Lepisosteus oculatus: one gene and its partners. The protein of the gene in region 1 interacts with the protein of each later gene in a pairwise test. Links are inferred from orthologs where the notes say so. Each region holds a gene or a part of one and is shown in the gene's direction. Other genes may lie near its edges. The genes, in order: dtx2, ncs1a, fam168a and glyctk.

Region 1 (7,770 bases):
CTGTTGTTGCCCGGTTTACAGTTAATGTAGTACTGTAGATGCTATACTATACCGGTATGTATCTAGTTTTCACGTAGTAGCCCATAGTCTTAGCATTTATCAGCTAAAGCTGAGTAAAGTTCTAGGCAGTGGTGTTTTCTTTGTACATTTGTCCTACTTGTCCTTTCTGTAAGTGGCTTATGTATTTTTATGATGCTGCTATAAACAAAAATGTATAAAGATGTCTGAATTTGTAAAGCATTCCCATTTTATGTATAACATAGTATATTTAATAAATACAATTACATTTTCTATGCAAGTGTTGGATTTTTTCCTTTGGAGATTCACTGTCTGGAGTTTGGCTGCCTGTTGTGTCCACTCTTGACTGGAACTAGTGTGCATGGAGTTACTCTGACACACTGTCTGCTTCTAATCATAAGAACAGAGGAACAAAGGGTTAGATCTGTAGACCCTTATTGTGATTAACCTGATTTTTTATGATAGTGTAAAATGTAATATGCTTTCATCCTTATAATTCTAAAGAGGTTATTTGTATGCTATATTCTGTACGTCTTACACCATTTTAATGTCATACTTTTGCCTTCAATTATATTAAGGTAGAGCGCAGTAAAATATTTCATTTAAAAAGGCTACACCAATCACAATTTTTTTCATTAGAATCCTACAGCACATTTTTCTCTGGTGAGGTCTGAGGTCTGATGTCATGAAGGGCAGTGGGTTATTGCTACATAAAATGTGTGCATTTCAAGCTTCCTAAAGAGTGATATTCACTGTAGATCTCAAATCTGAAGCCGGAGGAAAGCAACGGTTTAGGTTCGAATTTTGATTTCTCCATCATCCTTAATAAATCATGAAGCAAGTGAACCAGTGATGGATTATATTAGATTAACCAGATTCCTGTAGTTAAAACACATACATATTTTTACTAAAGTCATATCTTTATTACTGAGCCCAAATTGTATCCATTTCTAGATTGAAGATTTTTTAAATATTTACGCAGTTTTATGGGCAGGAAATGTACAGTATTTAAAATGTGGCGGCACTTTTGTCAGTAGAGGAAAGCAATCTACTAAAATGAAAATCATTAAATCCATATTGATTTTATCCAGCCCCTTAACCAACATTCAGCACTATTTCTATGTGCATATAAATGGAAATACGTCTGCTTACAAAAAAAGCTATAGTCAAATGTCTAAATCCCATTATAAATTTCTCTGGAGTTTGTTTGATGATCATCAGTTTATTCATTTAATTTGTAATACCTGATCTGCCATTTGAGAACTTCAGAATATTTTCTTCCATGAATTATGAAGGGAGGCTAATTATTTCTTTGTAAAAGGTTCAGCTTGTGCTGAGAAAGTAAATCTGTAGACTAGACATATTTTTGAGGTGATTCTTGGGATTTCTTAGATGAAATCAAAATGAGCTCAGCACCGCTTGAGGTGTATCGATAACTGGCTACACCATATGAAGATTCCCAGCATAAAATGTATGAATGTAGTGTAGATAATTAGCAAAATGTTCAATCCAACAGACATTTATGAGGTCTTGATGATTCTATTTCGGTGTGTGTTAGCCAATAAACTTGAAAGTTTACTTTGTTATAATCGCCAAGATCTGTTTTCTTCCTTTATTAACAGAACAATATATCACATATTTGAAGTTATGCTTGTAACGCGTCCAACTTTTCCTTTGTTTAATGAAGCAGACTATTCCTGCCATAATCAAAAAATATTCCCTGTGAAAACAGGAGCCCCTCCCCCCACAAAAAGAAAGTGAAAGAGTACAGTTCTAGTTAGTCAGATGTTTATTCTTATTTTGAAAGGGGGATTCTGAAAAAATCCACTTGATCACAGGGAGAACATGCAAACTCTACTTAGTTTAAAAATTCAACTTCTAAATATTAACCAAGCCATGCTTGACTGAACTGGCGAAGATGTGAGGACTAGATCTTATTTACAGTATCTGCAACATGATTACAGCTTCTATAATATACTGTGGATTACTGTCTTCCAGACAGAGAGAGTGAGAGGCTGTCAAAGGCTAAGAAAGCCCAGTAACTCTGAGAGCAAGTCCGCTTGAAATTTGTTAAGGAGAGCTTTAAGAGGAGAGATGCAAAACTCGGGGATTGCATTCCAGATGCTGTTTACAGACAAATAAGTCCCTAGTGACCCAGTCTGAATCACCGTAAAAGTGATGTTTTTTATTTTTCTCCTTTGGCCCATTCCCATAGCCTGTTATTAATAACCACAAGTACTTTCTTTCTCTTACGATGGTCTTTTAATAGAAATGTAGCTAATGAATTGTTTCCATCGCAGCCAGGAAAATTACATTGTTTTGTTGAGTGCTCTGCAGTCCATCCATTACACATTAAATCGTACTCCCAAACCCTTTATGCAATTTCACAGTTAAATATCTTCTTCACCTCAGGAGAAACAGCTGCAGAACCCCATAGAGTACATGAAATACTAACACAGCAGGGCAGACTTGAAACTGCATCAGGTGATATAAGCAAGCAAACCACAGGGAATTGTAGTGCTGTATCACAGAGCAGTTGCCATATGTACAGTAGATACAACCCATGTCAGAGCATCCCTAGGGTTTTCAGTCAAATGTCAGATAAAAAAACACCCTGAGGTGTAAGGAATTTAATTCAACATTTAAAGCTCAGCTACATCAGTCTTTATGTAAAAACCTCTTTCGTAGCTGAGACTGGAGGCTGTAAATAAAAATAAAGCACTAATACAGGTAAAGAAACTATTTTTACCACCTAGTTAAAAGTCCTTGATAATAATATCACTGTCTGCCATACACATGAATAATTTATGCATTCTCCCACCTTTCATGTTTTTCCTTTTTTTCCTGTTTTTTAAAATTTGTGGATCGCTCAGAGACAGACACTCCAGTTTCTCAAGCTAATGTAACAAAAGTGTGAGGTTTTCTAAAGTTACTGATATAACTGAAGTAGTCATTTGGGTTGATACCATTGAGAACTGTACAATTGTGGATTAAAATCAGTTTATCTTCTGTTTTCAGAGCTAACAAGATATCCCACTAACCTCTGTGCCATTGCTCACTTTTCCCAGCAGGCATTATTCCTGCATTTTCGTATCTTTCAAGTTCCCATCCCAGTGTTTTATTTCCTGTACACCTCAGTGCTTGCTTTTCCTGATTTTTGCATGAACATTTTGTCCTTTATGCAATACTCCTTGGAGAGCAGCCATGCATGTGTCCTGAGATTCCCAATACAATAGGGTTTAGTTATTTGCTCTGTCTGTTAGATTTTGAAAATGCAACATTTGACCTGAAATCTCTGAGGCAGGAATCTGCAGAAATAGGTTAGACCATCCATGAAAGAATGCGTTTGTCCAGGTTTTCCATATATAGATATAGATATTAGTAGTTCAGGTGGGTAGCTGCGTCAGCATGCGTAGGCTGCAAAGGAACAAGTAATAGGTTTATTCCATGCTGAAAAAAAGAAGAAAGAGAACACAACGTTTCAGCCGTGGAGCCTGCTCGCCTGAAGTTCATACCTGAAGAAGGCTCCACGGCCGAAACGCTGTGTTCTCTTTCTTCTTTTTTTCAGCATGGAATAAACCTGTTACTTGTTCCTAGATATAGATATGCCTAGAATAAGCCTTTCAGAAAGAGATGATTGTGAAGACACACTGAAATGTGGGAATTAGTGCGCAGTTACAGTATATTCCTTACCTTAGCCCTGTATCTGATACGTGTGGGTTCACAGAACTGTGCTGCAGTCTGTGGAAGCAAATGAAGTGGACAGAGTGTGGCTTGCACAGTGAGTGCTATTCAATCGTCCATCCAGGGCAGGGAAACAAGTTCAGGAACTGCAGACAGACGTGGACAGAGCGAGCCCATGTCTGGGACTGACGCCTGCTTGAATGGAGCCTTATTCACAGATGTCATTTAATCTGCGCCAGAAACCCAGACACACCGAACACTCAATGAGAATGAATGTGGAAAGGCTTGTTTCAAGACCGCAGGATGATTTTTTATGCACTGTTTTATGACATAAGCTGATACAGTGTTTGAAATCATGGAGGTACTGACAAAACATCTGTAAATACTACAATCTTCTTAAACTGATTAGATTAGATTAACAAATAGATGCAACAAGGTTTTTTACATCTAAACTCACTGGATTGAGCATATACTCTCCTTGTTTACCCTGTAGCTGTCAATCTGTTTGCTGATGTATCCAAACATGGCCTTAACAAGTTGCAGCATGTTAAGATCTCACCTGCCTGGGTCTTAACTAAAATTAAAATGCATTTTTTCAATGGAAAATTGAATTCAATTCTGTTTAATTTGCATGTTGTTCTGTTTAGTCTACACTAATTAATTGATATGTTAATTAGTGTACACTTGTCTCTGTAGTTGTAATTTTATCTTGTTATATTGTAAATTCGTTTCCATGATGTTACAAAACACACTTGATTGAATGAAAACTCTTATTCTAACACTATTTTTCTTTTGGTAGCAGATGTTAATGTCTCTCATAGTGGGGACAAGAAAAGACAAAAGGGTTCTGAAATAACTACAGCAAATAAAGATATGTAATTTATCATTGGAAACACCAGAGCCTAATTTATCATGATTCCTCATACCGCTGTCCTGGGGGTAACACAGCAGTGACGTACTTTTCCTGCGCCGTTGCGACTACAGTCGACTACAGTTCTACGACTACAGTTCCCAGAAACCTCTGTCTGCAGCTCGGACGGGTGTTTCCGATATGAGATCCGTGAGAAAACTGGAAACGAGTTTAGTACAGCTGTCGGAAGAGCTCGCAAAACGACGCGTGTGTTTATTCCTTGAAATCAGCCTTGTGTTGGAAGCTGTAGTTTTGCATTTCGTTTTATTAATGGTATATTTGTGTTGTTTTTTTTAGTTAAGGGGGAGACTTCCTATGATACTGCCTGTGTAAATTGTTTACATAGCTACAGCGCTACAGAGACAGGAGCTCAGAATGGATAGCATTGAAGTTGGGTATTGGGTGTTTAAATTGTTGTAGCAAGTTTAAATCTAGGTATACGTGCTGTAATAGTTTCTATTATTTTCCGGCTGTGGCGTGCTTGAGTCACTCGAGTGATGACAGCCGTTCAGGACGTGTAGGGTAACTTGCTGTTTCCATTTAAATTGAGTTTCGGTTCGGTTCGCTTGTGGACAGCACAGGCGACAGGGCAGAGGTGTCGTGAATAGCGCACTGGCTATTTTATCGCATGCATTCGACTGAAAGGGCAATACACGATTAACCCGGTGAACAGTTCTAAATGACGTTTTATCCTAAACGATTAACCAGGCTGTTTTTTTTTTAATCTGCCAGTGAGCTACGCGAAGGATGAGCAGTTTCGGACGCGTTGACGGTGTCGCAAGTTGGGTCTGGTCTCGGTGATCTGCGACTCCTGTTTCATGATTGCAGCGCGTAGTCCAGCTCAGCGAGTCTTGCACGGCCGAGGAGGAGAAGTTGCCGTCTGTACCGCAGCCCGGCTCGGGTGGAGATGGCGGCGGCTTCCGCTCCGGGCGGTAGCGGGTCGGGACCCCCAGCCGACCGGGGCTCGGCGGCGCAGCTGCAGCCGACGGTGGCTGTCTGGGAGTGGGCGGACGACCTGGGGTACTGGCGCCCGTACAGTGGCCAAGTGAGCGGGTACATTGAGCGGTGCCTCCTGACCCAGCGGGGCGGGGGGCCGGCGAACACCAGCATCTCCCTGGGACAGGCTGACCCTGCCCTGGCGCCCTACATCATCGACATCCCCAGTCTGAAACAGTTTCGCCAAGACACGGGTAAGTGGCTGTGGTTCTTCATTTAGAAGCGTTGGTTAGTGCCCCTGCGCCTCTGGGTTGCGCCGGAATGTGACCAACCTTTCTCTTGGCAATTCGTGTAATTTGGAATTGACTGAGTCTCCTGGGATTCCCCGTCCTTTTTCTTCTCAACGTTACTGAGTAATCGTCAGTGACGTAATGACTCTGTCAATGTCTTTTAGCTCTGTAGACGTTCAGTGTGTTTTTTTTTTAAATTTCCAGTGTTTAATCTTACAAATCTAGCACTTCATCAGCAATGGTGCCCGTCTGTAGGTACAGCAGCGTCAGTGTATACAAGGAAGCAGGATCCTTTACTAAGTTTTCAGCTCAGTTGAGAAAATAGTGCAGTTAGTTCGGCAGGCTATACAATATAGGCCTACTGAGTGGTGTTTGTCAGTTTTAACTTTTGCCCATCAAAGAGCCAACTGCAAGCTGAAAGACGGATGGAAATTAAAAAATAATAAACCAGTCGTATTTCTCAGCTATAAAATCTATTTCAGCTGAGATTCCTGTGACATCGGTAACTTTCAGGATGGCAAGAGATCACCAGACTGCAGTCTCATCAGTGGGGAAGAGCTCAAGAGTGCATATTTCACACACATCACTGGAGGGACCCCAGCTGTTCAAACAGATCAGTTACTATGGTGTCCAAATCTGATGGCCCAATTTCTTTGTTTTTCTAAATGGTGAAGATTGCTTAAGGTGCTGACTTGTTCTCATCTTGTGCATGTACTGTATGTTTCTTGTTAATGCTTTCATGTTGTGTTAAGTGTATTGTGTGTTGTTATATTATGTCTTCTACCTACCCCCAGAGCATATTTCCTATCTGGGACAACAAAGGAAGTATGTAAGCAAATGTGTTAATTAGTTAAGATTCCTTAGCAAAAGAAAAAAAAGTCCCAGAATGTTTAGTTCACCACTGAATGGGTGGAGGTATGATGGAAACTGCAGTAAATGCACAGAGGACCTGAAACAAAGAGGCCTGCGTGTGCTGGCGAGGAGGCAGTGTGCAGCACTGGAGTGCGTCTTTGTTCTGAGGGCTTGTTACTGGCACACGAGTGGCTTGGAGCAGGGTGCTTGCTGCCACCTGCTTGGTGCAGACGGGAAGCTACAGAAAAACCGCAGGAAATCCAAACTACATTAACTTCAGCATCTGAACATAGCAGGAAGCCCAAAACAGTCTATTGGTGGGGATCAGCAGCCTTTCGCACACTAGAAAGAGACGATTCTGCAAGCACAGGCAGCTTGTATTGATGGAAGTGTAGATTTTGCAGCCTAGGAAAAGACTCCCTCTGACCCCAACATTTATGCCATCAAGTTTACTTTTTGCTGCAGCATTGGTCTTGGTAATTTCTGCTTTCCTTAGGTTGAAACAGGATTACAACCAATGTCCTTTGATTTTTCTAATCAGTGCCATGATTGCAGAGGATTAGTGTTGTGGCTTGTTTTAGTCCTATTGAACACAGCACTTGTCCAAAAAGACCATCAGCTTATACCAATGGTCAGTCCTGCTTGATCTGACCATGTGGCTCTTTCTGAGTAGAAGCAGAAATTTGTGAGGCAGTTGACCTCTGATTAGATAATAAGAGTTTCAAAGATTGTGTGGGTGGAAAAAACCTAGTAGCAGGTAACTTTTGACTGGGACCGATAGGTGATGCACAATAGTGACAGTGCTCAGAGCAGATAATTGCATGGGTCTTAATGTAACACAACAGATAAGTTCCCTAAGCCTTTTAGATATAGAAAACCATTTCTGATATGCCTAAAAAAAGTGAAAAATGTCTTCAAAAACAGAAGATAGCATTTTTATCATCTTTTGAAAGGTCATTTTTTGGTTGGTTTCTTGTTCCTGAAATTTGAAATCATTAATATGAGGAAAGAAAAACAAACAAACTGCATGCTTCATTTTTTAAATTCTCATTAGATTATTAAACATTTAATATCCATCCA
Region 2 (7,231 bases), on another chromosome or scaffold:
GGGTCTTTCGGGATTGGCCCCACGCAGGAGAGCTGGGAAACCGGCCAGACCGCCAGCGCACCACCTCAGCGAGACCGAACACCCGTCTGGGTGTGGCGACAGGACTGGAGCCAGGGGACCTTCTTCCCCAAGAACTGCAGCGTGGCACTCCAGAATCCCGCTGTGGTGGTGGAAGTGGCATGCTGCCTCAGGGTGCGAAAACCACCAGAGGCTTTGCAGCGAATTGCACGTTAGCGCAGTGTTCAAGGGACAGCTCAGGGGACCGGATAAGCACTGCAGCGACGTAGCCGTCAGTCGGGAGGCAGTTTGGAAAGATCGCTCCTCTGCTTGAAGGCGCTGCATAATCAGATTCCTGTCCTTCTTTTGCCACATCAGTCAGGTACAAATTCTTTACCGCAGTCGGTTTGAGTCAACTCTCTTAAAAGTGTGGACGTCTGTGCACGCTGCAACAATGCATCGTTCATCAGGAAACACCCCCCAGTGAAACGCGACAACGGTTCGGACCGGTCTCGGCTGTGGACCTCCCAGCGCGCACTGACATGCCAATGACGGGAGTGTTGTGGAAGCATATTTATTAAAAACTCGAGAGTTTTCTTTTTTTTTTTGTTGTTGTTGTCCAGATTTACAGTGTAAATAGCTGCCGAAGTTTGGGCAGCGGGGAGACGAGTGTTTCTCTGGGCGGGATTTTCTGTGGGGAAAAGCCTGCCCACTCCCCCGCCCCCCTGATGTTTTTGACAGTTTTGCTCCGTGGCCGGCTTGAGATAGAGTGGAAGCATCTCAGCAGACGGCCAACACTGCTGGCTCTTCTGCTAACGCAGTTGGCTCGTTCCAGTTTCTCTCTGGCTCTGTCCTCCCTGCCTCCTGGTGTCCAGTCCGCCAGGTCCTGGGCTGGAGCAGAGGGCTCAGCCGCCCCCCCCCCACTGCAGGATGGCTGAGCACAGCTTTGAAATATACTCGTCCTGGAGCTCCATTTCACCCACACTGTAGGGGGCGGGCGGGGGGTGAGAAACTTGAAACTCGAAAGACTAATTTAATAATTTGCTGTGTTCTTCATGCTTCAAAAATTTCCCAAGAGTGAACCGTTTGCAGCGTAGAACTGTGATATTTTTAAAATGCTAACTTTAGATAAGAGAAATAAACTTCAGAGCTGCCACGTGTTAATTGTGAAGACTCTTTTTGTTCAAGTTTGTTACTTTGCCGATGGTGGTTTGACAGATGACTGCTCAGCGTTAACAATCCCAAACGGTATTTAAGCATTTCAGATTTTGTGTGTGTGTGTGTGGGGGGGGTGGGGGGGTTCAGGCATTTTGACGTTGTTGTGCAGAGTTTGTTCTTTATCAAACTATTTTATTGATGGAGTGGCACAGCGGCACAGTGGTGAGTATTGCTGCCTCAGCGCTGGGGTCCTGGGTTCAATTCCTGGGGTGCTGTCTGCATGGAGTTTGTATGTCCTCCCACAGTCCAAAGACGAGCTGGTAGGGTAATTAGCTTCTGCAAAATTGGCCCTGGTGTGTGTTCCTAGCTATGGACTTGTGTCCTATCTAGTGTGTATCCCTCCTTGCACCTGCTGCTCCTTGGGATAGACTCTGGGTCACTATGACCTTGAATTGAATAAGCAGTTATGTTGTGTTCCACCTCATTCAGATTAAATGAATTAACTTTTGGCTGTACTTGCTGTTTGCTGCTGTGTATCAGTCAGGCTGGATTCTAGAATCCAGAAGTAAAAAAGGATGAGTTCAGATGAGGTCTGCACCCCGGGCAGCAGGCCTGTCCTCTCAGTAGTTAGGCTGCTGTGTGACATGTTGTTCTTGTCTGCTCATTAGTAGTCATAAAGGTTGAAAGGTCGAAGGTCAGCAGGCTCCTTGCATAGTGCGTGCTTTGCACAGCATCTGTGAGCATGAACGTGCATTCAGACCACCCTCGATTGTTTAGCTAGGTACTGAGAATCGACTTCAAACTAAATCCTGAGCACACAGATCTGCTTATATTTGCTCCATGGCCCAATAACATGTCTCCCGAGTGTCGTTTTGCTCTTTTGTCAAGTCAATCGAACCAATCTTGACTGACATGACTAGCATTCAGATGGTAGCACACGCAAGGCTCTTTTCTTACATTCAGAACAAGAACGCCGTATAAATATTGATACATTCGGTTACCGTATCCAACGATAGAAAACAAATTGCAACAACAAAGTAGCTGAAGGCCACAAATACGTATTCTGAGATGTGTGCCAAGCACAGTTGAGTTTCATAATTAAACACGTGCCTTTAGGCTCCATGCAAAGCCCTTTCTTACTGTGCTTAGCTGAGCTAAACAGGAACTTAATTAAAACGGTTTCTCATGCAGCAAGTTTTGCAGCTAAGCATCCGTTTCCCTTTATGTACAGATTTTCCACTTTCCCACAGGTGCCAGACAGTAGCGTACTGGCGCACTATGGCTGCTGTCGCATCATCCAGGTGGGGCTGCACATTGGTGGCGGAAGTGGGATGTCCCGTTACCTGTAAAGCACTTTGAGTGGAGTGTCCAGAAAAGCGCTAAATAAATGATTATGAATAATTAAGCAATATAAATTTAAATTCATATGCATTAAAAATAAAGCAATTAATATAATAGTAATAATATTATAAACAGTATTTGCCTTTGAGTAAGACATCGGCACGCTTAAAGATAAGACAATGTCCTGAAGACGCTTCAGTATAGCAAGTGCTTATAAACTGGATTTATATCGGATAATTGCTAAAGATGAACATAGGTTTTAAACATAAGTGATGTTGTGAATGCACCATTCAAGATCATGCCTTCAGAGAGGCTGTGCAGGTGTCTTTTTTTTTCCCCACTTCTTGCAGGGCAGAGCATTTGGAATGCGGTCAGTGTGCAAGCCTGAATCAGACGACAGGACACAAGAGGAGTAGGTTCCTGACTTGCATACAAATACCCCCTCCCCTCCCCAGCTCTGAAGCATCCCATCCTCTGTACAACCCCCCCCCCCGCCACCTCCTTTCCCGGCGCTCGGATGATGTGGAGCTGTGCTGTCCGTCACGTCTCTTAGCGAGGGGATGCGCTCCAGGTAGCTCCCCACACAAAACATGTCTCCGCTTAATGACCGACACCGTGTCTCCAACACCCCCCCCCCCACGAAACATCTTGCTCTCAAACCCCCCCCCCCACCCGTCGCAGCCTGCAGTACGGAAGAAATTCGATATCGCTCTCGCGCTGCAACGATGAAGTCATCCCTCACCCAGAACCCTTGCAGTGAACTCCCGCGCTGCCGATGTCCCTGTCCGAGGGCGGATCGCGCTCACCGCCGCCGTCCCGGCTGGGTCCCTGGCCCACAGGGTGCGGGGGGGGGGGGCGCAACGCTGGCGGGGGCTCGCCGGAGGAGCGCTGCGGCGCAGAACCGCCGGGGGGGCTCGGTTTGAGCAGCAGCAGCAGCAGCAGGTGCCAGAGACAAAATAAATCTTTTTTTTTTTTACAAAAAAAAAAATCTTATTACATCTCTAAATGAGCAGGAGCGGTGGTATTCTAAGACATTCTGCTGACAAGTCCATTTGTCTCCCCCCCCCCCCCATCCCCCTCCTTTACGATGACTTTATTAACGAGCACCATTAGAAGGAGACCAAGAATGTCCAGGGAGTAATTAACGGCAGGCAGGAAGCTGTGTGGGACACCTGCAGGGGCTTCTCTTCAGCAAGGGTCTAGCGGGGCGGGGTGTTTTAGAGGGGCTGTCGGAGATGTGACCTGCCTGCCTGTCGGCACGAACAGGTTCCCCCAACGCAGGTGCTGCACCCCAGAAATGGGAACAGGAACGGGAGCTCCGTTTGTCTGCTCCCTCCTGTTCCGTCCTATCATTTTAGTTCTTGTTCCTGGCAGGTCGGGCCCCAGTGCGTCTCGGTCCCCCCGCGTTCGAGAACTGGAGAGACCTTCTCTCTCCGAAGCAGTGATGGGTGACGAGCCTGTGTCTCTGACCCCTGTGCGGATAACCATGACGACGATTCGAAGGGCAAGAAAGGGCGTCTCTTTAAAAATGCAAACTGATTAATTGATCAATTGATTGATTTCATTTGCCCGGCCTTGGTTTGTCTGCGTCTCTCTTGTCTCAAAGGGGGCCCTGTTCTAATTCTCTCTGTTTTGGCCAGTAGGAAAAATATGCTGCAGAAACACCCAGAAGGATCTTTCTTCCCTGCCCAATCTCACCAGAGATGCAGGTGCAGCACCCTGCCAGGGGGCAGATCCTGTATGGGCACTACCCTCGGTACCCTACCCTCAGCCTGGTCAGGTGACCATGTACCCAGACCTCGCCCCGTGCTCATGGCTGCCAGTGATCCAAAGACGGAAGGTGACCTCTGACCCCAGGATGACCCCAGGTCCTGAAGACGCCTGGCTGTATGTGCAGGTGAGTGATCCAGGGATCCTGACTCTCCTCGATTCTGGGCACCCCCTTAAATTAAGGCAGGCCCTGGGTTTATATCTGGATCCCCCCCCCCTGCGCTACAGCAACGCCACTCATTCCTGAGTCCGGGAGGGGCCACACCTCTCTTAAATTCTGAGACTCCAGCACCCAAGGTCCTGGGAGACATGGCTAAATGAGTCTGGTTGAGATAATAAAAAACGAGCCGATTTGGACAGAAGAGCTGCAGACGCACCGGTCCTCCTGGGCCACGATTGGGTATTCCTGTGCGATACTGCAGATGCACATGGCAGTGATGTTTTGCATATCTATCCTTGGCAAGACCTGCCTAGATACAAATGGCCGAGTCCTCAGGAGAGTCGACCACCATAAATCAGGGCTTGCTTGGTCGTGGTTTTCCATGGGGGGGTGTCTCTCCAGGGGTACAGACGTTCATTGGCGACCGAGGTCCCCGTGTCCAATTCCAGGGAGTCAGGAGACTCTTGTGGCTGTTCCCAGTGAAAGAGTCTGCGGCTGGCTGCCACCAAGGGAAAAATGGCTGCCGTTTTTGTTCAGTGGTATGTTCAGTGGCGGATCGGTGAGCTTAACACCAGGGCAGGGCAGGTCCGAGACGTCGCAGCTGTGAATGAATGTTTTGCGTGTCGCTTCAGCCGTGCTCTACCTTGGGAGAGAGGAAACGGGCAGGGGGGGGGGGAACGTTTCCGCCGGAGGAAGAAGACGGCTCTGAAAAGCTGGTCCTGCGAGTTGGGGAGTTCTATTTTTAACAAGCCATTACCGTCGGAGCCAGCCTGAGGCAGGGATGGGGATCGGCAGCACAGGAGCGATGAGTTGAGCTGGCAGACGGCGGGCGACAGGTGTGCGCAGCTGGGAGCTCGGGCCTGCGGTGGGCTGGGGGCGACGTCACCCGCGCGCCATCCTGGCTGACATTGGGGGTCCTCCTGCGCCCGGGGTTCCGGGTGTGTCGCGTCTCTGGACCCGGAGGTGTCCGGGATCGAAATCCGCAAGGGGGACGGAGCTGGGCACATCCCCCCCAGTCCCCCCCAACTGGGGTGCCTGCTTAATCCCCCCCCGAGCTGGTTTTAATGACTGCAGACAGCAGCTCCTGCTCAGCCTCCTCTTCCTCGGCCGCGATGCGCTCGCCTGGCCGCGCGGTTCTGGGCTGAGCGTTGTGTGTCGGAGGGGCCCGTGCAGATTGTACAGGGCGCTCAAGACGGCGGTACGGAGGGGGCTGGGCGCTACGGGGTCCTGACGTTTGGTACCCGATGGTCCGGGCAGCCGCATGAGGCTCTTCACTCTTTGTGGCCCCCTTGATGTCACGCGTGAGTGAGTCGACAACCCTGCTCCCTGCGCGACATCATCAAGACCTTCGGCAGGCAGCTCATGGACAGCGCCCGAGTCGCAACAGCCCCACCTAAGGCCATGGGGCGTTCGGGCCCGAGCCCTCCCCCCCAAAAAAAACAAAACAAAATGGCGCCCCGTCACGTGACTCTGCTGTCGGCCATCGATCTCCCGCCCTCGCCGGCTGTCGGGGTTCTGAGCGGTAAATCCGGCGTTTAGGAAGAGCGTGACTTGCTCCATAAAACACAGTGATTTAGTGAGGGAATGTCGGAAAGTCCTGGCAGCTCAGCAAATAAAAAGACGCTGGCGACCGTCCCCAGCTGGTGTTTCTCCGAGCAGTATCTCTGCCGTGTGGTTCAGTTCCTTTTCATCAGGGCCCATCTGTGCGGCTAATACACCTCCTGTTTGTGCAGCTTAATTAGCCCGTTTTAATTTTAAGCTGGGTTTAACGGGGGTCCCTTCTCCCCCCCCCCACCCGCCTACATTCTGAAAATAATAGGCTGTCAAACCCCGGGATATTTTTGGGGTCCTCTTTACGGGAATACTGCGTGTGGGCGGCTCTTGAAAATGGCACGCTGACGCGCAGAACAACTCAAAAGCCTTCCTGCGCGAAATCGGTTCAGAAAAAAAAAAATCTTTTTTTTTTCCTTCCATCAGCCCTGTTTTTATGTCGGGAGCGCTGCTTGCGTTCACAGAGCGAACAATGAGCGGGGTTTTAATATCGGCTTTGTGTGCGCCACTGAAGAAAAGAAAGACTTCAGTGCGCTGTGGGGAAGACACCCTCCCTCCACACACACACACTACGCCAACGGGCGTTGGGGGGATTAAGTGAAAGAAAAAACACGAATAATACACTTTTTATTAAAAAAAAACACTGGAGCCTGACAACCCTGGATAACAGAGTACGTGATGCCGCCGTCATGTCTCAGTGACCCATTAACCTAATAGGTTCGGGCTCCTGTGGCGATGAATACTGCTGCGCGTCGGAGAACTATACTCCCGGCCCGGGGACCCCTGTTCCTCCCGGGCTCTCGATCCGCTTGACCGCCATCTGACATTTCTAAGGCATCCGATACCGCCTCCCCCCCCCACTACATACAGGTCCAGGTGTGTCAACAATGCCCACGAAGGCAAGTTTTCTTGATCTCAAAACGCAGAAAACACCCGCTGCGTTATTGCTGAGGTATCCACGCGTTACATCGTCTCGTCGCCCACCCCCAGAACTAAGGCGAGTAAGTTACTCGCCTTGGGGAAACGAGCGCTCCCACTCGCCTCTCCCAGCCGGGCTGTCCGCGCTCGTTAGGGGCGCACGGCTGGGCGCCGGGCCGGGAGGGGTTAACTCCCAGCCCGTCCCCGGCCGGCAGCGGCGGGAGCGTCTGATGTCAGGACGGCGCTCCGCCTGAGGCTCGCTGGCAGCTGGCAGCGGAGACGAGGAGGGATCGGCGGTCGCGGAGGCTGGGAAGCGCTGGTGCGGACCCACTTCGC
Region 3 (7,930 bases), on another chromosome or scaffold:
GTCTTAGGACTGTGGAAGAAAATAACAGCACCTGCAGGAAACCCACACAATCATAGGCTGAACTTACAAACTCCACCCAGATTGCAACCCAGGATCCCAGTGCTACAAGGCAGCAATGCTAGCCACTGCGTCATCGTGCCACACACTAGTCTATTTCTTGATAAATTACTAAAATTATGTAATCTCCATCCCTTTGGGCGATGTTGCTGGCTGGCTTCCTCCTTTAATATTTTTCTTCAGCCTTTGTCACAAATAAGTAATAGGATTAGCATCGGGTCATAAGGGTGCCGGTTTCATAACTGATGACCCTCATTTTTTACATTCCTTTAAACTTAATGGAGCTATCACCCTTCCCAAGGTTATAACAAAATACTCATCCTTTGATAACTGGATTTTCATGACCATTATAGGAATAACAAAAGTAGTATGACTGATGTTTTCTTATTCACATCCTTTCATTGTATAACTACTGTAACTTTGTTTGTATTGAGAGGCATTACAATATGTACCAAATGTGTACTGGGACCAATAGCACGTGATGTGTTTTTATTGTCTGTCAGTATATAATTCATCCTTACAAAACATATCTTGTGTCAGCCTTTACCTTTGTATACAAAATTTACATGAATTAAATTTTCAAAAATTATATTCTTATTTTTGGTATTTAAAAAACCCTCGTGTTTGGTTTATCTATAAAAACACTACTTTGAAAGGAATCATGTGCCGCACTGCTAGAGTATAGAGTTCTCTATTCGAGTTGTTTTACATTATCTGAACTTTATGTTCTATTTCTTTTTGTGGTACTACTTCATGTTTTCTTACAGCTTGTAGAGCAATAATGTTCTGTCCCCTATTGTTAATTAAGCATCATACACTTCAACTAGAGGAAAACTAATCAAAGCAGTTAAGACAGTTAACGATAAATCAAATGTCCACTTACTTTGTCTCCAAAGCCATCCTGACCTCATGAGAGCCATCTGGGGAAATTATACCTAACGTCGCCTTTAAAGTGTGACGATGAACAGTGGGAAAACGTGTCGGGAAGATCTCCTTTTGATGTTGATGACTATTCTAGGGTTTTGCTCCCTGGTTGCACAGTTCTGCTAATCGGGGAAATGGTCCCAGAGAAGGAAAGACTGCGACTCTTTGTTTTCTTCTGGGTCTCTCTGAGGCTCCCTTTAATCTCGCTGCTGACACGTGGGATAATGCGGGATTAGTGACCTGCATTAGCCTGTGGACATTGAGAAAAGCCTGGAACTTTCCTGCACAAACAGCCCTGGTCTTCCTCCGCAAGTTCCAGATTTAGAACCGACGTAGAGCTTCTGTTTAGAGCTTCCATTTAGATTTCCTTGCTAACCGTAGATCATACACACTAAACCTAAAAGCAACAATAATATCATATATTTCAGCCCTAATTTAGACACACTTTATTTCGATGCTTTTACAATACATTTGTTTTGGGAGAGGCTGGGCCATTTCTCATTTTTGCTATTGCACTGACTGCATGTTGATGTAAAATATTTTGGAAGGTAGATCTGGTAAATGCCTCTGTGCAGCTGGTATGGATGTTAACCAGAGGCACATGACCTAGGTATGAAACATGAAATAAATGAAACGGTGAATCAAACTGACATTAAATTAGCACTCAATCCATGGAAAGTGTTAGGCATTCTTAAAATTGCATTTTATATTAAAAGTTACTTATATGGATGTAACTCAGAGTGTAGTTTTTGTTTAAGGTTTTGTAGGCTATGAGGTTTGGAAATAAAATGGAACTTACAGTAAATGGAAAAAAAAGACGTGACTATGAAAGATATGAAGATGAAGTTAAGTAATTTTAAACAAATACAAATCCCAGCATGCACTGTATGTACAGTAGAGACCACCTGAGATACAGAAAGAAGACAAGTCTTGTAAGGTTGGGTCATTAAGCTCTTATGTTGTAAATCCCTGACTAATACAATTCAAATGACTCATCAGGTTGTCACAAATACTGGACTCACATGACCACGTTCCTACATTCTTGATGACTTTATCTGTTACTATTTTGCTCCATTTGGGCATTTTAGAACTATTTCTATAGTCAAGGTAGCTGAATAGAATGGAAAAATGATGAATAAACTAAGCAGAGGCCAATCGATGTGCGGCAAAACCTAATGCAAATCAAGAGTGCAGCTCTGCAAAAATAAGAAAAGAGCACTATCTGACCGGTGAATCACTGGAGTCCACAAGGCAATATGTTGAAGCTGTTGTAAATGAAGTTTTACCACACTTTTTAACAACAAGGTACCAAACACTGAAGACTCCCAAGTATTCCAACACTACAAATCCAGTTCTTCTGTTTTAGCAAACTGTCACACCATTTCATTTCCAGTGCAGAACATGCAGTGTGAACTATTATTCCTTCTTTTTTGCAGAAAAAAGGGCTATTTTACCCTGAGAGTTTAAATTACTAGATGTTTATATCATTGGAAATACCTTGTGTGTTGAGGTTGATAATAAAGACATAGAATATTAGATGGTTTATCACAAGAGGCTCTAAATGTGTATCTTACTGTAATCTTCCATACGTTTTGCAGATTTAGTGCTGCAAAATAAAAGACTTATGTATTAAATCTTCAGGGAGTCTACACCTAGTCAGTATGATATCTTAATGTCTTAATGTAATCAGTGCTGCCATTCAAGTGCTATTAATTGTTCAGCGGTCAGATCTGTGGTAGGCTCAGGACACACAGACAGCCACAGCTTGCAGCTTATCAAATGTATCCTTGACTCATGTCCCCTGCAGTGAATCTGGTTATTCTTTCAGGATATCTATGGTTTGCTTGATTTCAAACGTCTGATGTCCTGAACAAACGAAAAGGTCAGACTTCGGAGGTCTCTATAGAGAATAAAATTGTGGGCTGTCTGCCTCGTTTATCCATTTCTGGGCAGCGGGCCAAAATAAAGAGATCAAAGGGTTTAGGCCTTTAGCACAGTGATGAAGATTTGTCTTTTGTAGTACACATCTCTGCCACAAGAGGACGCTCACCAAATGCTCACTCAGACCTCGTAGAAATTGCCAAAACCGTTCGTTCGTTGCCAAAAATAATGAGATTAATGAACACCATAGAGAGTTACCTGGATTATGTTTTTTTTTTAGAAAAGGTGCACTTTACGCCACTCTGTGTGTTTTGAAGTCATTACTGGATTTATAATTAAATCTTAAATAGACAAAAGTTAAATATGCTCAAAGGGACTGTGGATTTTCTGTGCAGAACACACACTGGCAATTGATTCTATTCCGTTACAGTGTGAATCCTCTGCAGGAAATAAGTCTCAAAATCCGCTTCCATTATTGACCACACAGGGGTGATAACGCAATATTGGTCTTCTGTGGCTCTAAAGCCTGAAAAAAGCTAAATTTACCGTCATATCTATGTCATAATATTTTGAGTCAGGTCAAACGTGGCTTCAGTTTTGCATATTTTTTTGCTAAACTTAATCAAAACATTCACGTCTAGATTAACTGAATTGCTTTTAAACGATGTTGAAGATTTTTTACGGTATTAAGTCCTGATTAAATCAATTAGAGCGAGCACACGCTCAAGCAGTGCTCAAGATCTGCTCTTAAAATCTGCCCGATGTGTTGTGAGTTCAGTTGATTGCTCTAATAAACTGTTTATGATCTCCCAATAACCACTCGGAATCTGAAAACGTCGGGGTTTGTCTCACCTGGGCACTGCGCTTGCTTTCTAGTCTGATAGTATTTCTTTTCTGCAACAGACCCCATTGGTCATGTTTGGATGAGATAATAACAGACACATCTTGGTATTTTCAGATATTACAAATATGTGCACTCTGCTTCAAACGTATTTAAAGGATCGGTAGAAATATTATTTTTCAATCTGCTTTATGAATTGCTGGCGCACCTAGTCGTAGAGGGTGGCTGCTTTTCAATTGATATTGTCCCTGCAAAGACCACTGCAAGCACAACCCATAAGCGATGTGACCGCTGGTGCAGTATACGTTCATCCAAGATTGATGATGATGATGGATAAAATAAAATTAATACAATTTGTTTCAGCTCTCAAGGACAATAAAACGTTAAGTAGATCACTTATCTGGCCAAAAATGGGGTGAATTTAAAGAGTCTACACCCTGTGTCCTCCTTACTAGATTCTGTCTCAGGTTTTACATACAAAAAGTATTGGGTCCTACATATCCTAGTTCTTCATTCCCAGTCACATAACCGAACCCCTAATTGACACGATTTACGTGAACCCATTAACTGTTTCCCCTTCCAGCTTTTGCGAAGAAATAAATAACTTGCAAAGGTTTCAGCCAAGCAGTTCGCTAGTTCAATGAAGGATTCAATGAAAAGAAAAGCTCGAGTGGGTAGGAGCCCCCTGTTCTAGAACACAATGTCTTCTAACATCCACCCGGGACGTGGTTCTTTTTTTTTTTCCACGATCACGCCCGCGTCATGGATCCTCTGACACATAATACAAAATGGCCATTAAAATGTAACACATATATAACATGGCTGTTCGTCGCAAAACGAACTAATTTCATGCTCGGGGAGGACATTTCCCAGGCTATAAAAAAGAACAGCGTCTCGTTGAAACACTCCTAGAAAGACTACTAAAGTCATATATTAAAAAAACAAGCTCAACGTCATTGTCCCACTGATTAAAAATGATGCACACAGCAATTTGCTTGAAAGGCGCTAGTTTCCCCCATGTCCACGACCACGTCACTAGTGTGCGCCATGATACGCGAAGGGACAGAGAAGGGGGAGGGGGGAACAGTCTCTGTTTGTTCGTGTAATTTGACGTCACAGAGAAAAGGTCCTCCTCCAATTTGCTTGACCCCCCCTTCCTCTCCTTTCTCCCCCCTCCCTCGCCTCTCGGTATCCCCATCCCCCACATTGTGTATGCGTGTGTCTCTGTTACCAACACTGACTGCAAGCCCGAAATCGCTGGAGCAAAGCGAGCGAGAGGAGGAAACCGCCAGCGTTCATAGAGAGAAAGGAGAATACGCACAACACAGTAGTGCTCGGAAAGAGTCAGAGGAAACTGGGAATAAAGTCGATCAATCCAACTGGATTACCACGGGTAAGAGAGGATCGCTGTGTGTTGATGGTCTGTGTGTATCCTGCTAATGCGTTTTTTTTTTCCCCTCTTAAGTGTCCAAACCTGGAATGCAGTCATGCAAACTGGAAAATATGAGAAATGGAAATGGTTCGCGCATTGAGGGGTCAGAGGGGGATAAAGGACATAACGATCACAAAAATTAAAAAAAAAATATATTACTTATAGGACATTAGCTATCGTGTTGTGTGCTCTCCTTCCATCACGTTAACACACAGGCAGAAGATACTGTACACACTGAGGGATACACAGAGATGCAAATGTTCAATGAATGCAATGGAATTGTCCGTGTTCTGACTTTTTTTTGGGGGGTAGACTTTTTACAAAATGTGTTCCGTGCCCTCATCCCAGTTGAAGGAGGGTGCTTCTCAAAATGGTGTCGGGAGCCCGTGTGTGACCATTTTAAAACGGAGTGGATTTCTGAGTGCTGCATTTTTTTTTCTCCCAGAAATATGGTGCATAAAGATTAAGGAGACAAAACAGATATGCCATTAAGGCGAAGCCATCGCTAAAAAAAAAACACGAACAGAGCAGGGCTGCATCACAGTCTTATTTTAATTTAGGGCAGATGTTAAGACAAACCTTTTTTTTTTCTTTTAGTGCGTTTTAGTATTTTAAGGAGGTCAGGAAAATACTTCTGCAACGTCTACGATGGTTCCTTTTTGCGTTATTTCGAGCATTTAAACATATACCTGGAGTTTATTGATACATATTTTTTATTAGTAAACACTATGTTTAGAAGATCTGTTTCAAAACGAAAACAGAGGGGATGTAGGATACATTATTACTACGTGTTGGCGTCAACTGCGCCGCGGACTATGTAATTGTGACATTTCTAAATCCAAATGTTTTCGACCTTTGAGAAACAATGTAATAGGGAACACATTTATTTACGTCAAAAACCGTCGAGGATGTCAGCAAAGTGATCATCTAGCTAGTCATCGTTGATTCAGTGGCAGTATATAACACATTCCCTTGACTCTGAAGATTGAGTTAATATTGTTAAAAACATTAATTTCTTTACGATGTTACATTAAGTTAGGTTACGGGGTTTTGATGGACAACACACGATTGCTCTATGGCGTCTACATACCACTGGGCATCCTTGTGTAGTGATTGATTGTGCTTTAATTGTATAGTATGAACTAGTTTATTATTTGCAGTTCTGGTAAAGGAGGCCAGTGCGAGGCAACAATGAATTAACTAGTAAATCATGGAACCACGTGCCCCTTTATCGTGCTTTTTTTTTAAAAAACATTTTGCATAATAACGAGGTGTTCCTCGAAAAATACTTGAAACATGTCGCAGTGATAGACGAGTTCGGGTTCCTTCGACAAGTTACTGCAAGTGTTTTGTAAGTATATATATATTAAAACATTTTTTTCCAGTACGTTGCACACAATCAGTGCGATCGTAAGACCTTTGTTGCGTTTCACTACTTGGAATCGTAGGTTCTCCTTTAATGACTTATTTTAATTGCGTGGAAGTTTCAGAAAAGATAAATCAACTACAATGGGGTACAATATTTGATATTTTATCTTTTAAAAAAACCCAACGCTGTTTTTGTAACTTCCAGGTTACAGCCACAGATGCAGAACTGGTAGGTAACTTGAATTGTAATGAACGGAAATTAATGAATCTGGTTTCACCTCTGAGGCGTGTTCTAACAGGCGTGATTTTTAAAGCAGGATGCTTTGTTGTCTTGGAATGCAGCTCCATAACACGCAGCTGATGTTTTTCCCTCTTTGTTTAATCGCTCAGTTACTGGGAGTCTCGGCACGTACAGTCCTTCTTAGGTGATGTGCGAGAGAGAGAGAGAGGTGGCTGACACTTCTAAGGCCTAGTTCATGACAAACCTCTTCACACGGGAAGGTTTGCTGAATAGTTATCTGTGCGCCTGCCTTGTAAATACTGGATTGGCGCTAAACAATTAGTATTGTCTTTGAAGTCCACTGCTAACGGTCCTCGTTAAGGATGGTTAAATAGTGAGGTAGGTATTGTCGGAGTGGGAGGCAAATGTAAGGTTGAGATCTGTCTTCACAACATCATTAATATGTGGCAGATTATTTTTTATAGGCAGTATTATTTTAAATATTCCAGGTCTATTGTTTTTAGAAATTGCTTTTGACACTGGCTGTATCAAAAGAGACAAGTACTTACAGGTGGTGGCTTGGTTCAGAACACTTTGATTTTGTGCATCATTAGGAATCTGTGCAATTTTCTGTACTTAATACTGGTGATCAGAGATTGTCATTATTGTAATGTAATGAATGCATTATTGGGTGCAGGTGTTTGATTTTGTGAGGCATTCCCTTGAAGTACCAGTCAAGTACATGGGAACATATTTTTATGTTGCTCACTACTAGCTAAGAAAAGTCTGGAAAAGTATTAGTTTGTACTGTTCATACAGATCTGTCAGACTTGCTTAGTTGACAGCTGTCTGCATCCTTAGTGAAACACAAGAGGGCGCTATGTAAAACTGGTCGTCAAAGGTAAAATCTTAAAGGAGATGCTTTGTGTTACTGTTGACGTTTTAAGTAGAATTTTTTTCTGACAGTAGATTTTACGTTAGAATTCTTAATTTAGATATAATTATGTTTTGAAGTAGCAAATGCATGTGAATGAATATATAAACCTATGTACACGTGCTCTTAAGAGCCAGCTGCCCAACATTTCAGTGTTCTTCAAAGATGAGCTTGGATTCATATTTTATAATATATGAATAGACATTTTAAAGTCTATTCACAGACCTTTAAATTGAGATTCATTCTTAATGCAGCACAGAATTTGATTGAAAA
Region 4 (8,000 bases), on another chromosome or scaffold:
TCAAAGTAAACATGCCCGCAATCAACACACCTAACAATAAAACAGAGCAAAGACAGCAGAACTAGGCCAGATTTTTGCTGGAGGAAAACCTGTGTTAATTTGGAACAACCAGTTTTGTTACATCAAACCACTCCCAGCTAGAATTAGCGAAGAAGTCCAAGTCTCACCTCTTATTGTGTCCAGGGAAATAGCGAATGTATTTGTTGTCATGGAGCGACAGATACCGAATGGTGTCTAAGGGAAACGGAGAGAGTTATTAAAACATAAAAACTCACTTGAAAATGGCAAAAAAACAAAGCCTTAATGCAATTATGACACGAGCACAACAAATACATACTTTCATGGGATCTTCGTATGGGAAGGGTACTCTTTATTAATGTCAATCAGGGAAAATCTGTATCCCCTTGCTCTGCCTCTGATCAGGCCAGAAGAAGGTGGCTAATTCAGTGTCAGAGCAGTGCAGCCTGTCTTGTACCTGTGGTGTTTTATAAAGATACTGTGTCCCGTGCAAAACTCTTTAACATACTAGACACAATCCAGAGTTACAATCTACGCGTATTATTTTATTAAAGATCAACATCAGCATTTTCTACTATAATACAGCCCTTACCCATGCAGTCCTGTTGGGTCGAGAAGAAACCCAGACTGTCATTTATGAATCTTTAATTCACACTCATCAAAATCTTCAAAAAAAACTCAACACCTCAAAGCCAACTACACACAGTGCTGAGGTAGCTAATCTATCACATCTACCACTCGGATCTGACTGCCTCATTTTAAGGTCTGGGGAGGAACACATGTTGACGTCTATCAAAGAAAAAGATTGAATCAGTATTACAATACAATACTGATCTATCAACATCCCTGTCATCTTAAAATAACTTGGATAAAATGTCAGGGAAAGTCTTACCACTTAATTTTCCTGCACAGAGAATGAGCATCGAGAGAAAAGGCTACTACACTACAACATGTCTCAGACTTTTGCACGATGCAATAAAAGCCATTTCCCCCCCCCACTCTCCCAGCAAGCCTCAGCACATTAAAGGCCCCCATAACAAAACGTTATTAAACACTAAAGACGCTGCAGTTTCACGGCAGAGTAGGACCTTCCTTTCGGAGTCTGTAACACACGGAGTCTGGCTTTGCTCCCTTCCAGAAAAACCACGGCCACTCCGGCAGGGAGTCGCGGGCTCCGCGGATACGAGACGCAGCGGCCTGTTGTGGCGCTGCTCCCGCGGCCGGAGACAGCGGCGCCGGCCGGCGGTCAGGAGTCCATACGATGTTCAGGCGCTGCAGGCTGCCGGAGACGAAGGCGCTGCCCCGGGCAAGGCAGTGGCCTGTACAGTTAGCTCCATTACCGGGTGGTATCACAGACCCTCAAACTGTACAAACAACTACCTCAGCCCGGGGCAGGCTGGGGTCAGCAGCACTCCTTCGAAGGAACCCCCGGGCTTCCTCCAGACCTGGACACAAGCCGTCCTCCCTGTAGTCTCTTCTTCTGGGGGGGTTGATGGAACTGAAGTAACCTTCAACTCCTGCGGCGAGTACTCCAGCGTGTGGATATACTGGACAAGCATTAAAACCCCATAATGCTGCAATAGTTTGGACACAAAATAGCACTGGCCTCCAGTAGAAAAGCTTTCAGAAAAGCTTGCTATGCTATGTCAAGGATGTCAGAGCTCTTGAAGGCTTTTCTCCTTCCAAGGCTTTAAGGCTTCACCTTGTAGTACAGAGCTCGCTTTGTTCCACTTATAAAACATAACAGATTGAACTTTTATTGCTGACAAGAAAAGGTATTAAACAGAGGCAGCAGCAGACTTCTGTAAGCCAGAGGAAACGGCAGGAAGGTGGATGAGCGAAGCCCATTATTTTTCTGACAGATGCTGTAGCCTCACTGTACAGGTATCTGGGGGGGGGGGGGGGGGGGCAGGCACTGGTTGGAACCCCAGATTTAAAAAACAGACCCCCAGAACAATAGTGCTTTTCGAACACCCAAGGATAACTTGAGACCCAGCAATTACTAGAAGGCCTACAGTATAAGTTCCACAGAAATGCAGTGGAGAATACTCACAGAACTGCACGTTCATCACTACAGTACATAATTAACCTCAGTTAAAATATCCCAGCCCAGAGGCTTCACTTGCATCGTTTACCTTCTCTAGCACTTTAACTCTATGACAGTTAGGATCTGGGGGAAAGGGTGCAGCCTAAGAAGATACACACAAGCTGACAACAGTTATTTTACATAAAATGTACTTTGTTGTCGCTCCACCGAACCACACAAAGTTATACTCCCTTGTCTTGCAACAGTGTTGCATTAAAAACGTAACCCTGAAGTGATACCCTTGAGCAATTTCACTGATAAACACAATGCTCCTTTCTTAACTTGGTTTGGAAGCTGTACACACAAACCTCCAAAATAAGAAAACAGAACTACCCTGAAACTGCCGGGTGTAGGCTGAGATCCCCGTCTGCAGGAACAAGCTAGGCTGCATTCTCCTCACGCGTAAACTGACAGCACAGTCGGATCATTTTTTTTCTCCTTTCAAAATCATTAAATATCCCCCTCTCCTCAGTGTTGTACAAGCTCCTTTTTCTGTTTGTGGTCAGTTTTGAATAACATGTACTCTGCAAAACATAAACAACGTTTCCCGGGATGTAATCTAAACCGACTTCCATCTTTCCACTGGAATCTTCTCACTGGACGAGCGATGACTGAACTAACTGCTGGACTCCCCCATGTTTGACAGCTAAGGAGTTTGGATGCGGGAGTTTCTACCCTAGTCCAGAATATCCCCAATTCAAGTCTCAATGGTCACCGTAAATTAGGGGACCCCCAACCCTGCAGACTTTCATTCCAGATGAGCCATCAGTTACATAACTAAACCCTTAAATATGATTAATTCGATCTCTTTTTTTCCAGTTCCTACTGCCCTTTATAAGAATCTGCAACTTTTCATCCCAAAATAAAAACTTGCAAAGGCTGCACACTGGTGGGGGTGGAGGGGATCCCCACTGCCTGTAAACCACTTTGAGTGCAGTGTCCAGAAAAGCACGATATAAGTATAAGCAGTTAGTAAACACACCCCATAACAGACTTAATTTTGAGCTTCGCTTCAAGTTCCAAAACACAAAGTTGCCTTTTAACTCTTGGGTTTTGCAAGAAAAACACAGCATCCCCAATCTTCAAGATTGGGGGGGGGGGTCCCCAGGCTCAGGGATAGGGGTGTCAGCCCGTTTTACTGAATTAGATAACTTAAGACAGAGGGTGTCAATACTTAAGCATGCAAGCTGTTCAAGGAGAAACGTACCGTCGATTTTGTTGGAGCTGTAGACCACGGTGTTCGCTGCGTGCGTGTATCTGATGAGGTCCACACCATACTTCTTACTGTACAGGGTCCTCTTGGGCCTGGAACACAGCCGGAGCGACAGCGAGCGCAATGAGATCGACCATCCCTGTTACCCACGCACGGACACGGACACGCTGCCACCGCAGGGCAGCCTGACCCACCCCACTGTGTCTGAGCCACCGCGACAGCGAAGGAGGGAAGTCTGCGCACTCGATACCGCCCTACACCCAAGTCGGCGTTAGCTACGAGGCTTTTAACGATGACCAGTGGGTGGACTTCAACTGGCGTTACCAGCCCACGCACACGCGAGAAGCAGGACAGAAAAGAAAAGGGGGTGCTTCTCATCCGACACTGCAGCCTGACACCACCACACGCGTGACTGCTGCCGCAGCAGCCGGGACACGGGGAGGCCGCGCTGCGCGACACACACACACACAAAAACCGGCGTCAGGGCTCTGCAGCCTTCGCGCACGTAGAGCTGCCAGGAGGGGACCCATTCCGTGAAACACCCCCCTTCGCATTTGCCCCTACGGAGCTCACAGAGCACGCTACATCAACCTGCGCGTAAAGCGTGCGTATCACTGCGCTGGGGGGAACGTACGCTCATGCAGACTGACATTCAAAGGCTCACACGCTCAATAAAAGAGACCCCCCCCTCAACTGTACACACTCCGCCACCCGCGGTACAGTCCCCCCCGTCCCGCCGGGCAGGGCGCTTCACTCGAGCCCGGGGATGAGGCGCCCGCAGTAGGCCTCACCTCGAGGAGCCCCCCCCACGCCCCGCCGGAGACAACAGAAGGGAACTCACTTTCCCTCCTGGCAGTCGTACAGCACGATGGAGTCGTCGTCGCTGCTGGAGATGACCGTCTCGCCGTTGGAGCTGAAGTCGAAGCAGTTGATCTTGTCCGAGTTCTCCCGGAACACCTTGGCGACGCGAAAGCTCCGCAGCACGTTATCCGTCAGCTTCATGACCTCCCGCGCTGGCGGCGGCCTCTCCGGCCTCTGCTTCTCGGGAACCGGCGCGGCGTCAAATCCCCCCCCCCTTCCTCTCCGAAACAGAAACTGCGGCTTTTTCGTCGGGTTTTCGCCCGCCCTCGCCCCCCGGGAAAACAACCCTGATTTTTTTTTTTCCCTCCTTTTCAAACGCAGAAGGAAAAAACCGCCGGGGACACGCTCGAGCACCAGGAGCGCGAGGAAGCCCCGCCTTCTGCCGCCGCCGCCAGGAGCGCGCACGCATGCACGCGCGCGCCCCCCCACCCGGGGGGAGCGCAAGCGGGCACGAGCCCCATTGTGTGCTCGGCGTTCGGCTGCCCCCCCCTCGCGACGTGAGGCTCAATCGGAAGCCCGAGGCCGAGCGCTGCTCGCCGGCCTGTGAGCGCAGAGGCGCTTTAAAAGGCAGAGCCCGCGTCTAAACCGAGGTTGTGTGCTGCAGCCTCCGGCCGGGTGAGCGCTGGGAAAGGGAGGCGTTCGCTGCCTTTCCAAGCGCAGTGAATTGCGAGATTCGCGTGTGTGTGTGTGTGTGGCCCTGTCCGGCCGCCGTAGCGCCCCCTTTCCCTGCCGGACTACAGGTACCACAATGCAACCGGGCGGACATTTCACGGGGGGCTGGATATGAGGAGTCGAGGGGATCGAGCGTGAATGAAATGGCATTGCTGCGCTGGTACGTGCACCTGCGTGCCGGACGCCTTTGTTCGGGGGACCGCGACAGTGCCGTTTAGTGCGAGGGGCAGGGATATCGGGGCCTGGCTGAGTTGCTTGGCAGGACAAGTGCCTCAATAGTTTAATGGCGATATTAAGAAAAACAAAAAAAACTCGGGAGGAAGAGAGCCCCACGCAGCAGGCGTGCGTGATAGGGCAGGAGGTTGAGAGGAGGAAAAAGAGTGTACCGGAGCAACTGAAAAACTATTAGAATCGCCAAGCCGGGGACAGAAAGAAATATTGCAATGGGGGCGAAACAGTATTGTGAACCACTTTTTCCACTTCTAGGACAGTAAAGGCTTGAGCGAGTGGCTTATGAGATAATAGGGGGTTTGTCACATGGTTCACACAGACTGTAGCTGAAGATGTCACATTATCGATCTCCCGCAGGACTGGCTCGCTTTAGCATGATTGATCCCGAGGCGTAGAGGAGCCGGGGCAGTAAAGAACAGTTCCCCGGGGTCCGATCCACGAAACGGACCGAGGGACAGCCCAGGCAGTCTGGCGCCTGACGCTGGGAGAGATACGGAGTTTATAGATGGAGACAGATTGGAGTATGACTGAGAGAACGAGGACACTTCAGGAGTCGAGCGTGGGATAAGAAAAATAAGGTCTCGTCTAACTTGCTGGAATTCTTCAAACAATAATAATAATAATAATTGCTTACACTTATATAGCGCTTTTCTGGACACTCCCCTCAAAGCGCTTTACAGGTAATGGGGACTCCCCTCCACCACCTTCAAGGAACAAGCTTCAAGGAGATTAGGTAAAACTAAACTTTAGTGACTAGAGCGTTTATATTTAATATTCGTGTTATGATATTCCTAACATGCACGTCTGCAGGAAGACTTAGACAGACTCCTGAATGGGGGCTGACCCTGTGGGGCAGTCGTCACAGCTCACCTGTGTGAGGACACCAGCAGGCAGCTGCAGTGTGGCTCAGCAGGGGTCCGGCAGACATCTAAAATTTGGATGACTCAAAACTTCCTTCATCTTAACTGTGACAAGACTGAAGTCATGCTTATTGGTACCCCCCATCAACTTCGTAAAGCCAGTCCTGTAACCCTGTCTGTAGATGGCTCTGTACTTGAGCTCCAATCAAAATTGAAAAACCTTGGGGTTATATTCGATTCTGGCTTAACATTCGACCCACATGTACAGCATACTGTCAAAACATCTTTTTTTCACCTTAGAAATATCGCAAGACTACGCCCTATGCTATCATTAACTGTGGCTGAAAAGCTGATCAACATATTTGTATTCTCTCGAATTGACTACTGCAATGCTCTGCTCCCTGGGGTATCCAAATCTACTCTGAACAAGCTGCAGTATGTCCAAAATTCAGCAGCCAGAATCCTGACCAGATCTAGTGCAAGTGTTCACATTACTCCTATCCTGGAGTCCTTGCACTGGCTTCCGGTCAAATTCCGCGTAGACTTTAAAATCCTCATGCTCACCTACAAGGCTTTACATGGCTTGGCACCTCAATACCTGTCTGAACTTTTATCGCCCTACTCCCCACCTCGCAACCTCCGCTCTTCAAATTCTGCCCTCCTTACTGTCCCCCAAGCCCGTCTACATTGTATGGGCGACAGGGCCTTCTCCTGCTATGCCCCCAAGCTCTGGAACTCCTTGCCCAAGGATATTAGAGAGTCACCTTCTCTAAACTCCTTCAAATCCAGACTCAAAACCCTCCTTTTCAGAAAAGCCTTTACTTAACTGCTTCCATTCTTCACCCCTCTGCTCTTCTTAATACCATCTTCCACGGTCTCCTCTATTGTTATTGTTGTATTGTTGTAATTATAATTGTGTCCTGTCTTGTGAAATTTTCTTATTTATTGTTGTAGTCTTCTTATTTATTGTTATTGTCATCCTGTAAAGCGCTTTGAGAAGCCACCTTTAAAGGCGCTATATAAAATAAAGTTTATTATTATTATTATTATCTAGTCTGCTCCTCACCTGTAGATCTTTTATGAGCCCGGGAAAACCAGGCCTTGGCTGTGGCTCACAGACTGCCTTCACCGACAGGAGAAAAGATCAGTCCCTTTCATCGCACCCCAAGTAAAATGTTTAGATTTCGGATCATTCTGGGGGGGGGGGGGGATGGGGAGAGAGTTGGGAGAGAACCGCCCCCCCCACGGCGCAGACAGACGGGGGGAGGGGCTGGGCTGTTGCTCAGTGGACTCTGAGCTGGGGGCAGATAGCGCGCTGTCCATTCCGATTAAAGAGTAATGGAGCTTCGGCTCCCAGCTATGGGGCGGCCTGGGGCGGGTTCGTGCTCCGGAGCCCGGACAGCAGGGTGGACGGGCTCACTTCCGTCCCCCGAGGGAGGTGCCGAACGCCCAGCTGTGTCACCGGGCCTGCAGCAGCAGCCACCTGCAGAAGACGGTTTGTTCTCACTGGACTGGCCCGGTCCAGCAAAGCATTACATCAGAGCTGGCCTGTCGATCATTAATCCCTCAGTCAATAAGAGCTGAGCCGCACAGAGCAGAGGGCAGATCACAGGAGACAGGCTGCTGGACTATATAGGACAGATCACAGGAGACGGGCTGCTAGACTGGACAGAGCAGATCACAGGAGACAGGCTGCTGGACAGAGCAGATCACAGGAGACGGGCTGCTGGACTGGACAGGACAGAGCAGATCACAGGAGACAGGCTGTTGGACTGGACAGAGCAGATCACAGGAGACAGGCTGCTGGACTATATAGGACAGAGAAGATCACAGGAGACAGGCTGCTGGACTATATAGGACAGAGAAGTTCACAGGAGACAGGCTGCTGGACAGAGCAGATCACAGGAGACTGGCTGCTGGACAGGACAGAGCTGGGCACTGTGGGCTGACGCTGTGCTGTGCGCTGGGGATCTCAGGTCTGTCTCCAGTTCCTTCACTTTCTCACTCGTGTGGCTGGCGTCCGTAGGGCCGCTGTGAGCGGGGATGATGGGAAGGATCT

Evidence for each region.
Region 2: the proteins of dtx2 (region 1) and ncs1a interact in binary tests that used the Homo sapiens proteins (3 or more experiments, as listed by UniProt). The two-hybrid records come from large-scale screens. The link is inferred for Lepisosteus oculatus from reciprocal best matches to the Homo sapiens genes DTX2 and NCS1.
Region 3: the proteins of dtx2 (region 1) and fam168a interact in binary tests that used the Homo sapiens proteins (3 or more experiments, as listed by UniProt). The two-hybrid records come from large-scale screens. The link is inferred for Lepisosteus oculatus from reciprocal best matches to the Homo sapiens genes DTX2 and FAM168A.
Region 4: the proteins of dtx2 (region 1) and glyctk interact in binary tests that used the Homo sapiens proteins (3 or more experiments, as listed by UniProt). The two-hybrid records come from large-scale screens. The link is inferred for Lepisosteus oculatus from reciprocal best matches to the Homo sapiens genes DTX2 and GLYCTK.

Annotation. Positions count from the first base shown.
Region 1 is NC_090721.1:2,532,183-2,539,952, forward strand, and holds the start of dtx2 (probable E3 ubiquitin-protein ligase DTX2), read left to right. Parts: upstream 1-4,719; 5' UTR 4,720-4,885; intron 4,886-5,344; exon of another isoform or gene 5,345-5,440; 5' UTR 5,441-5,519; coding exon 5,520-5,802; intron 5,803-7,770. UniProt on the Homo sapiens protein: Regulator of Notch signaling, a signaling pathway involved in cell-cell communications that regulates a broad spectrum of cell-fate determinations.
Region 2 is NC_090719.1:2,513,977-2,521,207, reverse strand, and holds the start of ncs1a (neuronal calcium sensor 1), read left to right. Parts: upstream 1-4,172; 5' UTR 4,173-4,393; intron 4,394-7,231. UniProt on the Homo sapiens protein: Neuronal calcium sensor, regulator of G protein-coupled receptor phosphorylation in a calcium dependent manner. Directly regulates GRK1 (RHOK), but not GRK2 to GRK5. Can substitute for calmodulin. Stimulates PI4KB kinase activity.
Region 3 is NC_090700.1:9,520,417-9,528,346, forward strand, and holds the start of fam168a (protein FAM168A), read left to right. Parts: upstream 1-4,865; 5' UTR 4,866-5,096; intron 5,097-6,400; exon of another isoform or gene 6,401-6,486; intron 6,487-6,711; exon of another isoform or gene 6,712-6,732; intron 6,733-7,930. Other genes in the region: plekhb1 (pleckstrin homology domain-containing family B member 1), read right to left, coding at 941-977.
Region 4 is NC_090699.1:65,861,561-65,869,560, reverse strand, and holds the start of glyctk (glycerate kinase), read left to right. Parts: upstream 1-4,926; 5' UTR 4,927-5,010; intron 5,011-5,017; exon of another isoform or gene 5,018-5,692; intron 5,693-5,798; exon of another isoform or gene 5,799-5,814; intron 5,815-7,178; exon of another isoform or gene 7,179-7,917; intron 7,918-8,000. Other genes in the region: wdr82 (WD repeat-containing protein 82), read right to left, coding at 168-234, 3,312-3,409, 4,159-4,319.